Linked DNA regions of Arabidopsis thaliana. The protein of the gene in region 1 purifies or fractionates together with the protein of each later gene. This does not show direct contact. Each region holds a gene or a part of one and is shown on either strand. Other genes may lie near its edges.

Evidence for each region. The genes of interacting proteins can lie anywhere in the genome.
Region 2: the proteins of MAC3A (region 1) and CDC5 purify together in Arabidopsis thaliana (affinity purification with western blotting; 2 studies listed by BioGRID, with this or other methods). This does not show direct contact.

Annotation. Positions count from the first base shown.
Region 1 is NC_003070.9:1,224,936-1,231,448, reverse strand, and holds MAC3A (MOS4-associated complex 3A), read right to left. Parts: upstream 4,967-6,513; 5' UTR 4,701-4,966; coding exon 4,688-4,700; intron 4,598-4,687; coding exon 4,512-4,597; intron 4,363-4,511; coding exon 4,291-4,362; intron 4,203-4,290; coding exon 4,140-4,202; intron 3,870-4,139; coding exon 3,783-3,869; intron 3,634-3,782; coding exon 3,492-3,633; intron 3,404-3,491; coding exon 3,282-3,403; intron 3,119-3,281; coding exon 3,002-3,118; intron 2,744-3,001; coding exon 2,648-2,743; intron 2,553-2,647; coding exon 2,493-2,552; intron 2,396-2,492; coding exon 2,321-2,395; intron 2,217-2,320; coding exon 2,112-2,216; intron 1,946-2,111; coding exon 1,826-1,945; intron 1,733-1,825; coding exon 1,655-1,732; intron 1,557-1,654; coding exon 1,472-1,556; intron 1,385-1,471; coding exon 1,333-1,384; intron 1,147-1,332; coding exon 1,076-1,146; coding exon of another isoform or gene 1,070-1,075; intron 985-1,069; coding exon 857-984; 3' UTR 502-856; downstream 1-501.
Region 2 is NC_003070.9:3,159,811-3,166,119, reverse strand, and holds CDC5 (cell division cycle 5), read right to left. Parts: upstream 4,289-6,309; 5' UTR 4,119-4,288; coding exon 3,942-4,118; intron 3,677-3,941; coding exon 1,958-3,676; intron 1,726-1,957; coding exon 1,444-1,725; intron 1,355-1,443; coding exon 998-1,354; 3' UTR 571-997; downstream 1-570. Other genes in the region: iPGAM1 (Phosphoglycerate mutase, 2,3-bisphosphoglycerate-independent), read left to right, coding at 1-81, 167-322, 409-570; U2A' (U2 small nuclear ribonucleoprotein A), read left to right, coding at 4,517-4,598, 4,699-4,739, 5,103-5,232, 5,333-5,538, 6,039-6,197. UniProt on the Arabidopsis thaliana protein: Component of the MAC complex that probably regulates defense responses through transcriptional control and thereby is essential for plant innate immunity. Possesses a sequence specific DNA sequence 'CTCAGCG' binding activity.

The DNA.
Region 1 (6,513 bases):
TTAATAAGAGTTTATTTGTTGTTTAGCTTCCTTTTTACCACCTACTAGCTACTAGTGACCTTTGAATCTTATTCCAAATAAGTATGTCTCTAATCTAGTTTAAAGTCTAATCTTGTTTTTAAAGTCATTTAGTGACTTACTTTGTGTAACATTCTGGTTTAGTAGTTGGTTACTTTGGAAATTGGGTTTAGAGAAAGATACAAACTTTCTTGCACTTACTTGATTGTTGATACCAAAAACATGTTTAGGAAATTTAACCAATAACGGAATTACTAAAGATGAGCTATAAATAGGAAAAAAAAAAAAAAAAAAGGCCAGAGAGAGAGAAAGAGTTGGAGGAAGTGAAAAGGAATCTGAGATTGGTGGGGGAATGGGAAGATTGTGAAGTGTGTGTTTTGACCACAGTACAGTCAAAATCTCTGTCTGTCTCAGGGTTTTCTAATTTCTATGACCACCATCACAATCTTTTTGTCTTCATTTCATTGTCTTCAAGATTCATGACCCTTTCTATATAACACAAGTTTTTTAATTGTTGCCGTTTAGGTCCTACTGATTTGAATGATGAAGAAGATCATTTACATGCCTGTTCTTCATTTGCTTTTATAGTGAGCAGCTAACTTTGTTTTATGTGGACTCTTTCAGATCAAAGAGAGAAAGATCAACTGCAGATCCTTAAGGTACGATGTTGTTACAGGAAAATTGTTGACTGAGAAAGAAAGGGAGAGAGCTCAGGTGTGTATATGTGATTGTGAGAGGGGCCATCAGGAAAGTACCAACAGAACTGTAAAGATACAACAAAAATCGCGAGAATTGAGGATATAGCTACTCTTGATGATGAGACTTTTGAGATATCTCTTCATGAATCTTGTGCTGAATCTTCAGTATTGTCATCATCAGGTAAACCAAATATCCTGAGATTACGGTCCATTGAACCGACTGCTATGTATTTGGAGTCGAGTCCAAACTTAACACTTGTTGCTTTACCTGCACATTTATGTAGTTACAATGTCTGAATGATAGACTCAATAAAACAAGGAAGAGCAGTGACTTCAAAAGCTTAACATGTAGCATTTACCTGTACCGGACAGATCGGGAAGAGTCTTGATTGGGTTCCATTCTGCTTTTACACTAGCTGCTTGGAATACTCTACAACATTGAAGCACAAGTTTTCGATTAGTATGATTTGCAGAAGAAACGTATACATATACCCAAACTGCATTTCTGGTGATAGCAGGTTAATTGAGTTTGCACAACTATCTTTCAATATCTCGTTATCAAAGTGAGCTCCTATATCAATTAATTCCCAACATTGTGTATCAAAGTAGACCTCACCTTATATCTGAAGCAGCAATGCCAAGATAAGATCCGCTATGGTCAAACTCCACTGCACAAAAAAAGCTCATTCAGGCCTTAAGAAATGAAAACTCACTCAACAAAATAGACTAGTAAGAGTGCTCAGGTAGTTGAATACCCGAGTTTGCATCTGGAAAGTCAAAGGTTCGGAAGTTCTTTAACTTGCGCAAGTCCCACAACCTAACACCATCCAGTGCAGCAGTCTGTACAATTTAAAGAATAGTAAATATTGGTCAGTCAAAAGGAACCTGGTGCTATCCTTCTTTCTACTTAGTTTAGGTCAATCAGTCAATGTACCCACCGCAAGGAAATAACCGTTTTCAGAGAATGATATAGAGGTGATTTCTCCATTGTGTCCACCAAACTTTGCCACATTTGCCTATCAAACGACAGAGATAGAGATGAGAGTGAAGTGAGAACAAACTTACAAGTGACAACAGTTGATGAGCAAGGAAGGTCAAAGAGTTTTTACCTGACTTTTTACATCCCAAATCTTAACAATAGATTGAGCGGTACCAGTTCCAAGAATGAGACCATCAGGATGAAAAGCAGCAGCCGTGTAATTCACGTCGTTTTCGGAAGCATCTGTCACCTGAATAACAACAATAATGAGAAAGACGCATGGCAGAAACATTTATTCTAACGAGTCTAATTCACATTACAATAAAGAAGGTAAATGTTTCATTGTTATATTAGCATAAAAGAAGAAATCTGAAACTGGATAACAGGTATCAGGTGTGGATTAAAATTTTGGAGACCTGAGCAAGGCATAAACCGGAGGACAGATCATAGAAGCACCATGTACTGTCAAGTGATGCTGACACAAAGTATTTATTCGTTGCGTGGACAGTTACAGCTCGCACCTGAAAACCACATCATTGCTTTTACGTTAAACAGACCAAAAATAAATAAAACGTAAAACTGTATGAGACTGTAGCCTGTAGAAGTTCTTCAGTTACATCCTTACCTCGGCAGAATGATCTTTCAGTGTATGTCTAGAGGTATAGTTCCCATCCTCGGAACATCCCCAGATGCGGACTGTCTGCAGAGTGTTAAGAAATGAGAAGTTAATCTCTTCACTACTACTCCATAAAATCATGCAATCCTCAAAGGAGCTTGTACACATAACCTTAGCTTACCTTGTCGGATGAAGCAGTTAACACAAGATCAGTGTCACCAACGAACTTGATGCTTGTAACCTGCAAAAGGAACAATGCATGTCAAGCACAAAACTACAAAGGAAAAGTTAAAAAAGAAAATGAAATATAAAAAAAGAATACAGTAAAAGACAGACCTTCTTTGAGTGACCAGTCAGCGTTGATAAGATTTGTCCTGAAGGACGATCAAAGAGAACGGCAGTTGTATCAATTCCTCCCGTAGCGATGACATCCTGATTACCACATATAACGAGAAATTAAGAATAATACTAAATAGAGAACAGACACAGGGATTCATGGTAGTGTACAAAATCTATATACTGAAGAATAATATTGATAAGCATCCAGATGGGGATTCATGGCAGTGTACAATATAATGTAAGCGCAAAAGTAAACATGTCACTATGACGTTCAATGCAGTGACTTCTCAGGACAGAGAAAAACTACATAAAGTGATGAATGGAAAATAGAGAAGTTCTTAGGTGTCAAACCTTAGAATGTAGGATGTCCATTGAAAAAATTCCAGGTTTGTTGGTCTTGTGAAGGGGGTGGCTTGAGAGTTGGGTGAACTTCTCCAGAGCATCGACTGAAGCCAATGTTTTAGGGATCTAGAGAACCAATGAGGAGAAATTATTAAGACAGAAGAACCACTCGCAAATCTAATTGAACTCCAAAAGTGCAGATATCCATTGTATGTTACAGACAAACTATATATATATGTAATTCTCTTTTGCCTTCTATTTCCACTAATATACTGATATATGCAGTTACCTGTCTCTTTTTACGCTGCTGAGAAAGAGCAGCATTACAATCTGTGAGTTCTGTGATAACTTCAGCCGAAATTCCAAGACGCATTTTCTTTGCATTAGGCCCCTGCTCACCATCATCGATACCTATATTGCAACCAAAAACATAGTAGCTTGTTATAAGAGAAATTACCACATAGCCAACTTACATTGAGAAGCAAACGTGCAAGCATACCTCGTTTACCATTACTAAGAGCAGCATTCGATGTGGCAACTTCGGGGGCTGCAGGCAACTGCCTTTCAGCCTCTGCAAGCAATTGTCGTGATTCGTCTCTTTCTTTTTTAAGCCTAGCAATCACACGACAAGCAGCATCATGCTGCAAAGGAAAAGTGTATCCCCCATCAATCACCTTTTATCACAAGAAATAAATGGAAACATCCAGGAAAAGAAACTAGAATACATAATAGATATTTGTAATTCATGTAGTCTGATAAGGTGGTGGCAAATGCACCTAACCATAATTACCTGATACAAAGCGTGACTTAGCTCTTGCCTCGCAGTATGCAGTTGTTGTTCCAAAGCAAAATTTGATAGCATCAAACTGTCCCATTCCTACAAGCACAACAAACAGATAAACTTTTTAAGCATTTCTTTTGCCTAAAGTAAAAATAACCAGCGAACACTTTCGTCTTGCTATTAGTAACAAATGAACATATAATTCAATGTAAAGAGTAGAATGCAATCTGCTATGTTAAATAACTCAGATAGCGATGCATACCCAAATCAAGTTCATCCATTTTAACTCTATATGATCCTTAATAGACAGAGAACAAAATTCAGAAACGAAAAAGAAGGTATAGGGAATACAAAATAAGAACTTACAGTCTGAAACGTTCCAAGCAATCCAGGGATGCTAGCTGTGTGTAATGGTTTCGGCTTTACGATCTGCAAAATGGTCCCGGAGATCGAATCAGGCTTAAATAAGTTTCTACAAACAATGCTGTGTGACAAATAACTCCAGTGGTTGCATTACCTTCCCAGTTTTGATGGGAACAATGTCATCAAGAGTATGTGGCTCACCAGTAACCGGGCATTTCCCATAATCCTACAAGGTACCAAAAGCAATCTATAAATTATCACAACAAAGTCTGTATTAAGAAAATATCTGCAGCAAATAGAGAGGTGCAAGAGGCTAAACAGCTGAAAACCCTAGATAAGAGTCGAACGAGGGAGAAAAGAAAAGAACTTGCTTACGGATATATGCGTCTGGATTAGCCGCTTCTCGTAAAGCAAACCCGACTTCTTAGAAACCACAGGCTCCTCCGGAACTTCGCCGGAAACTGTAGAGGAGAAAAGACCACAGTGTTACCGACAGAAACAAAGCAAAATAAAACCCTAAATCGGTAAATAGAGAAGAAAGAGTGCCTTACTTGCACAATTCATCTTCTAAGTATAAACGAAGAAGAAGAAGTATACGCAGGACTAGAAGACTACTCGGTGAATCTTTAAATAGACTGGGCTAGGGTTTTAACTACTCCGGTCCGGCGCTACTAAACAAAATCGCAGAAGCCGGGAGGACGATGAAGACGGAAAGAGAGAGAGATGCAAAAATTGTTTAAGCTTAGGACAACAAGTTAGAGATTTCTTGTTAAACAAATGGGCCTTTTAACGAGACCTTGATTTATAACTAATTAGGCTTTTTTCTGAAGCCCATTAGTTAAACTATGTATGTTCGTTCATTCTTTCTGTCTGAGAAAAGAAACTCGAAAGTATAATTCTTACCCTTTTTTTTGTCATTCTTTTCTTTTATTTTTTCTGATTACAAATTCTTTTAAAGTATAAGGTAGGACAACGATGTACGGGCCATTCTATTTGCACGTACGATAGATGTGTTCTTTATGAACAAAAATTAGTCATAGCCGAAAAGTAGTATTCTCATAAAAAGCATATTTAGTATTCTCATTTCTCAACAATTAACATAGCCGAAAAAAGAACCTTATATGAACAAATCATTGGTCATACTATATTTTCATTTTTTATTAAAAAAAATTAGACTTCCGATTTATATAATATTGTCTGAGAGTTTGGTATTATAATATATTTGTGATAGCTCTGCAAAACTTAAATCATCTCGTTTGGAAAATGCGTGTGTGTAACACTGCACTCAAAGGCCAAAGCTTTTGCCGAAGATGCTCATATATATCTCCAAAGTATCGATTCATCAAATCAGCTTTGATCTCAAGCTGTTTCTTTTTCCTTTTGCCACCAAGTTGCTATTTTTTTCTTTCTCTTCATTCTGTTCTCGTTAAATGATTTCTTGCAACCTCATTAATTTCCAATTCTTAAACGTATGACCATGTTTATTTTATCACATACTGTATATAAGTTTAAAAAATTGCCTGAGTGGTGATATGTATTTTATATAATACATATAGTATATGTACATATTGTTAAACAATTTGAATGAAATAAAATTTTGGATAAATATCAGGAGAAAAAAAACTTAGATAGTCATGCTAATGATTTCAAATAATGCTTCATAGAGTTGGGGACCAAATAGAATGTTGATAAGTGATGTGATGATGTCCCGTTCCCAACCATGACCAAAACAAATAAACTAAAAAAAGCTAGAGGAGAACGAAAAAAAAATCGTCGTAATTACAATAGTAATTAATTAATGCGTATAGTCAATGAAAGTTGTTTTTAGAAGTTTTGAAGTGAAGGGATATTTTGAACTTAGCTGAGTAATAGTCCATGAAAGTTAGATTATTCACCTAGCTGACATTTTTTCATAGTTTGGGAATTCTTTATACGAAAAAAAAAGATAAAATAAAGGTAAGACCATGTTCGTAAAAAATTGTAGTTTCATATATGGTGTTTTTTTGTTAAAGTTTCATATATGGTGTTGATGACTATATAATCTATAAATCACATTGGTGTACCTTTATTTACGTTATCTAAGTCGATATATATTCCGATCTATAAAAGTATCTTTTCATTTGTATGATCAGTTCATTATTTGGTTATGGTTGTAAGGAAAACAACATATATAGAAAACGACAACTCGAAGCATGGTATGCTAAAACTATCACTGTAACGAATTTTTATCGAGAGAAACCATCTTGATATGAAATTTGTAGTTTCCGAATTTAACTAAGCATCACGTAACATTTTTTTTCCCCTCGAAATTTCCATAAAATAAATACATTTGACTTAGTACGATCTTTATCTCTTATTTTCAAAATTTTCACTGACC
Region 2 (6,309 bases), 1.9 Mb from region 1:
CCAAATGGAGATATGGTGGGTCATACAGGTGATATTGAAGCCACGGTTGTTGCATGCGAGGCTGCTGATCTTGCTGTGAAGGTATGTTTTATAAGTTTATTGACAAGTCTTAATGATGATATGTGTGAGTGTGTGACTTAGCCCACAAATGGTTTGGTTGTTGCAGATGATTTTTGATGCAATCGAACAAGTGAAAGGAATTTATGTTGTGACTGCTGATCACGGAAACGCAGAGGACATGGTGAAGAGGGATAAATCTGGCAAGCCTGCTTTGGATAAGGAAGGGAAGCTTCAGATTCTAACCTCTCACACACTCAAGCCAGTAAGTCCATATCTGTAATCTGTGTTATTACCATAACATAAACCATTGGACCATATCTGATGGGAGATTGTAATTATTGTTTGTAGGTGCCAATTGCTATTGGAGGTCCTGGTTTGGCTCAAGGAGTGAGATTCCGTAAAGATCTGGAAACACCGGGGCTTGCAAATGTAGCTGCAACAGTGATGAACCTCCATGGATTTGTGGCTCCCTCTGACTATGAGCCCACCCTGATTGAAGTAGTGGAGTAGAAGAATTGAGAGCCTTATCAGTTTTTGAAGAGAGGGCTGAAACTCTCTAGTTATCTTTTGTTGCTTTTCTAATAATAAGAGTTTACACACAGACTACTTGTATTTTTGATTTTGGCTTTAGGCCAAAAACATTGAAATTCCATCTTGAATGATATGCAAGCTTTTTTCTTTCTCTCCCATACGATCTCTTCTAGCCAAGGATAAAATTTGCATTGAAAGAGAGGAGGATTAAACATCTTCAGATTGTACTTACATTTGGAACCAAATAGATCCTGAAGCATTCAAATTTCTTGACTCTTGCAAAGCATACAAACAGAGAATATATCATAACCTTTTTACAAAGTCATGACTCATATTAAAAAAACTTACCAATACAAAGTCAAGCTACGTCTCCTTAAAACTTGTAAGCAATACAAAACTCAAGTTTTTATGCAGAAGCTTCCATGGCTATGGCTATGTCCTCTTCCTCTCCAGTGGCTAGCTTAGCTTCTTTCAGTTTGTGAGAATCTTCAACATCCTCTTGTTTCTTCAATGCCTGTGCTCGGAAACCGACCATTATCTCCTCTGCTTTTTCAACCATTGCCAACATATTCCCATAGCGAGTCTGCAGTTTACTCTCTGTTTCCTTTTGCTTTATCACTTCCTCTTGCAAATTCTTTTTCCTAAAAGATGCAGCCATCTCTTCTTGCCTCTTCAATGCTTTAAAGCACTCTACTTCTGTTCCACCAATCTCAGCCTGCTTCAATGTCGCCTCTATTTGGGTCCACACGGTCTCTGCCCTCCTCTGTCAAATGTACAAATCCGTTAAACATTGACACCAAACAAAATATAGTTTCAGAATTAACATTTAAGGCAATGTGGACTATATGTTACCTCATGACCCTTTGTATAAGTTTTGTACTTGGCCTTCATGTGTTCTGCCTTCTTCTCATCCTCCTCCATCTTTTTTCTCACATTCTCCATCTCCTCCTGAAAAGCTGCAACTTTGTCCGCGTTCCCAGCAACACTTGAGAGCTCGTAAGCGCTTCGAGTGGGGAAATACATGAGATCATTCACGCATGTGTTGTGAGCTTCTACAAAATCATCAAGTGTCTTGTTCTCATGTCCCATTGACACACACAGAAACTTCCCCTCCTCCTTTATCATTTTGTCAGCCTACCAAAAATCATAAGCAACAACCTTCATTCAAAACTCCCTAGTGTATACCAAATTAATTACAGATGTTGATAATTAAGGAGGGATTAACATTCATGCAAAAATTATCAATCAAACAATCTAGCCTAAACCAAGAGAGAACTAAGGATTCCAGAAGCTGGCCAACGAATTAATCAACCAAAAAACAAAACAAAAGTAAACTGAAATTGGATAGATATTTTCATCTACATACCTCTTGGAGCTCATTTTCATCAAAATCGTCAATTGCAAGAACTTGAGAAGCAGAACGGTTGGTACGGTTCTTGGCTCCTTTCTTCTTCTCAGCTTTGTCATCAAGCGGATACTTTGCATTATCATGCTCCAGCAACTGTAGAAGCTCCTCTCTTACCATTTTATCTGCAACCTCAATCGGAGTAGGAGGAACAACAGAACTTTTGTCTCCATCAGCTGAAAGCAACGAGTTCCTAATTACTGCCAATGAAGCAGCTGGGGGTCTAGGAAGATCTCTCTGCAAGACCTTGGATCTCTTCTTAAGCAATGCCTGTTGTCTTGCTTCTTCCTCCGCCTTTTCCCTCGCTATCCTGTCTGACATGTCTTCCTCAATTTTCTCTTCTGGCTCTTCACTTTCCTCAGGAGGAGGTTGTGCAACTATTTGGTACTCGTTCTTTGGCTGAGGAAGCCCAGTCAAACCAGAGCGTAAACTCCTTCTAGCTTCCTCTCGTCTCTGCCTCTCAAGTTTTGCACTTTCGTGCATGTCCATGTCTTCGTTAATGTGAAGTTCATCCCTGAAGGGAGTCCCTTTGGGTGTCATAGAAAAAGAAGACCCATCCCTTGATGGCGTCAAGCCAATTCTTGGAGTAAGACCAGCACCACCAGGAGTCATTGAAGGGGTCAACATTGGATTAGGCGTTTGAATCTCCTTCTTTCTCGGAGTGACCCCAGTGAAGTCAGAAGGGTGCAACTCAGGATTTTCTCCTCCTAGCAAAGGTGTCTGAGAGTCTCTTAATCTGGCCAGGTTTTCTGCTTCCATCATAATAGCATCACCTTTACCAGCAGGAGTTCTTTGAGGTGTCCTCATGGGTGTCATTCCTTGCCTTGGTGTTTGTGAGTAATTTGCCAAAAGTGCACGAGTAGCAGCACTGCCTTCTGTTAGCTCCTCATTCTCGGCAAGAAGGTCACTGGCATAGCCCATCTTAGCAATTTCTTCTAGCTCGTGGTCTGAAATCTGCGGTGGTGGTAACATCAGCTTTGACCTCTTCCTAACAACTTCCGGATCATTCAGCTTGTTTGCTTGCAATATAGCTGCTGGAGCATCCTGTCTCTGAGCAATTTTATTCCTTGCAACATCTTGTTTGCGTAAATGTGCTTCTACATCAGCTCTTCTTTTTCCTTCAAGTTCTTCAATGGTAGTTGGAAATTTTACTTGATCAGCAGGACGATCTTCATCCGCAGTATCATAAAATCCCGCAGGTGCCCTCTTTTCAAAAGGAATTTCTGCATTATAGTCGATTCCCTTTCTCTTTCTTTTCCTATGCCTTCCATCAATCCCAGCTGCTTTTAGTTCTCTTCTTTTTTGCAGAGAAGCAAGCCTTCTAGCTTCCTCAAGTTGTTTTTCTCTAGCTTTTCTTTTAGCCTTCTTTCCCCTCGTGTTAGCCAATCTAGCTCTTGCTTCAGAAAGCATTTCTTTCTCATCTTCGTCCATGTCTACCGGATCAGGACGAGCAGGCTTTGCTTCTGGGTTCGGATCAATCTCACCAGGACGTAATTTTCGTGGATCATCCGCTGCATCATAATTTTCATCCTTAGTGCATGCTGCATCAAGGAGCTTCTCATACCTCTCAAGACATTGAGATGGTGTACGACCCACAATAGGAGCAATAGTTCTCCATTGAGTAGGCAGAAGTTTAGCAAGATGTAGAAGCTTCTCATCTTCTTCTCTGGTCCATTCAGTCTACATTAACATCACAAAATTAAACTCAGTTGTAATTCAAAAACATAAGAAAACCTTCGAATACTCCAAAACTCCTAGCATTACTGCCTACACTTTCTATGAATTTCCAGATGCAAATCAATACATATATACAACTAAAGCACCTAGTAACAAGCTAACAAACTACCTAAAAGGCCAAATCCCCAAACAAAAAAATGTTCGCCAGATCCATAGTTTTTTTTCGAACACTACTAGTTAAGAGAAGGAAAACGCGAACACGACTTACCTTTTTGATAGATGGATCGAGCCACTCGTACCAGCGAGCTTTACACTGTTTAGCAGACTTACGAACGAGAAGAGACGAGATCCGAGCCCATTGGTTCTTACCATACTTCATCACGGCGGCTTTGAGAATCTCATCTTCGGTGTTCTTCCAAACACCTCCCTTAATCATAATCCTCATCTTCGCTCAACTGTTTTTGATCCAACCGCACTCCAATTCAAGGTCTCTGAAGCTAATGCTCGTGGAACTCGGTAAGAACGAAGAACAGAAGGAAGCGAGAGAGAGAGTAACCCTAGATTAGGGTTGGAACCAACGAAGAAGAAAAGATTCAATCGTTCACTAGTCCTTTTCTTTTTATTTGTTTTTTCTTTTTAATTTCCAAAATCATAAATATCGGGATACACTTATGGGCCTAACCGACTGGGCCAATTCAATGGGCCGTTTATTTAAGTGATAAATTAATAGCAAAGGTCATTTTGCTGCGTTTTTATGTCATCTCTAGCCACTGTTGTTGTCTCTTTCCTCTGAATGCTTAGCAGCGACAGAGCTCGACGAAGCAGTAAAACCCTAGTAGAATAATGGTGAAGCTCACGGCTGATTTGATCTGGAAAAGTCCTCACTTCTTCAATGCTATCAAGGAGCGAGAATTGGATCTACGAGGTACACTTCTTCTCTTTCCCATTACATTTTCTAGGGTTTTGTAACCCTAAACGCACCTGCTCTGGTTAATCGTTCGTTTTTCTGGGTTAATTTGTTGCAGGTAACAAGATTCCTGTAATCGAAAACTTGGGTGCTACTGAGGTATTTCTTTTTTCTATCGATTTTCGTTTCCTCTTTGTCTGTTAGCTGAAGAATTTGTTGATGCGGTTGTATTGTATGTTCTTAAGTCTGCCTGTTGGGTTTCGGCATTCAAGTATTTTGAAAATCATTGACAGAAACATTGTTGAAGTAGCTATTGCTCCTTTGTCTTAGTTAGTATCTGTTTTCTAGCTCTTTAGGAGTATATGTGGCTTCGTGTAATAGTACCTTTTTCTTACTGTGGATTCTTTACTTTTGAGAGCCAGTCTTCTCTAAGAAAGGCCTCCCATAAATTTTGTGTTTGGCTTAGGTAGATTATTTGCAGGTTTGAGGTTCTCTAATTAACTTGTCTTGGTTTGCTTACAGGACCAGTTCGATACCATTGATCTGTCTGATAACGAGATAGTTAAGCTAGAAAACTTCCCATACCTCAACCGTTTAGGAACTTTACTCATCAATAACAATCGTATCACCCGGATAAATCCTAACCTTGGAGGTAACATCTATCTGTGTGTTGTAAGAAATGTCAATTCAAACACATTGTTTGCTTTGTTGGTTACCTGTGTTGTATTTATCGTATGGTTGTACATCTGCAGAATTCCTACCGAAGCTTCACTCTTTGGTTCTTACAAATAACAGGCTTGTGAATTTGGTTGAGATTGATCCCCTTGCCTCCATTCCCAAGCTGCAGTACCTTAGTTTGTTGGATAATAATATCACCAAAAAGGCAAATTATCGCCTTTATGTGATTCACAAGCTAAAATCACTTCGAGTACTGGATTTCATTAAAATCAAAGCCAAGGTAAGGACCTTATCATATGCTTTATCAACTGTTCATTTTTGCTTACCCTAGATGCCAACTTAATGTTATTTTATATGCTACAAGTCACCGGGAGCTAACCTTAATATCATCTGAAAAATAGAATATCTGAGAGCAAGAAATTGGTCTGCCTTTTGTCTTACGTTGTTTAAGATTCTTGTGCACAGTTATATCTGTATGCTGAAATAAGAAATTTCACTAATATTAACAACATTTAGCTAAAAGGGTTTGCTTAAAGTATATATAGTTTGGGTCTTGATGACTTGGTTGCCTGATTATCTTAAAGTTTTTTGTATTTAGGGCATAAATATAAACCAGACTTGATGTAGGGTGTGGTGTTTTTATTTAATTTCCTCGTGTTATAACCTTGTAGCCTTGGATCGGATAATAGTTTGGCTTTATCCTTTAGCCCACTGTTGTATATCTAAATTTTACAATGGTTATAGCAAGACCTTTTACCTGACATTATTGGTTCCTAACAGGAGAGAGCTGAAGCTGCATCTTTGTTTTCATCCAAAGAAGCAGAAGAGGAAGTTAAAAAGGTTTCTCGGGAGGAGGTTAAAAAAGTGTCAGAAACTGCAGAAAATCCAGAGACTCCGAAAGTGGTGGCGCCAACAGCGGAGCAAATATTAGCTATCAAGGTGCGAAACTGGAAATTATATAGGACCAAACATATTCACTGTTTTGTTGTCTTTATAATAAGTAGGTCAACGCTGTGTGGTTGATAGTAATTTCTGTATTTCATTTCCATGA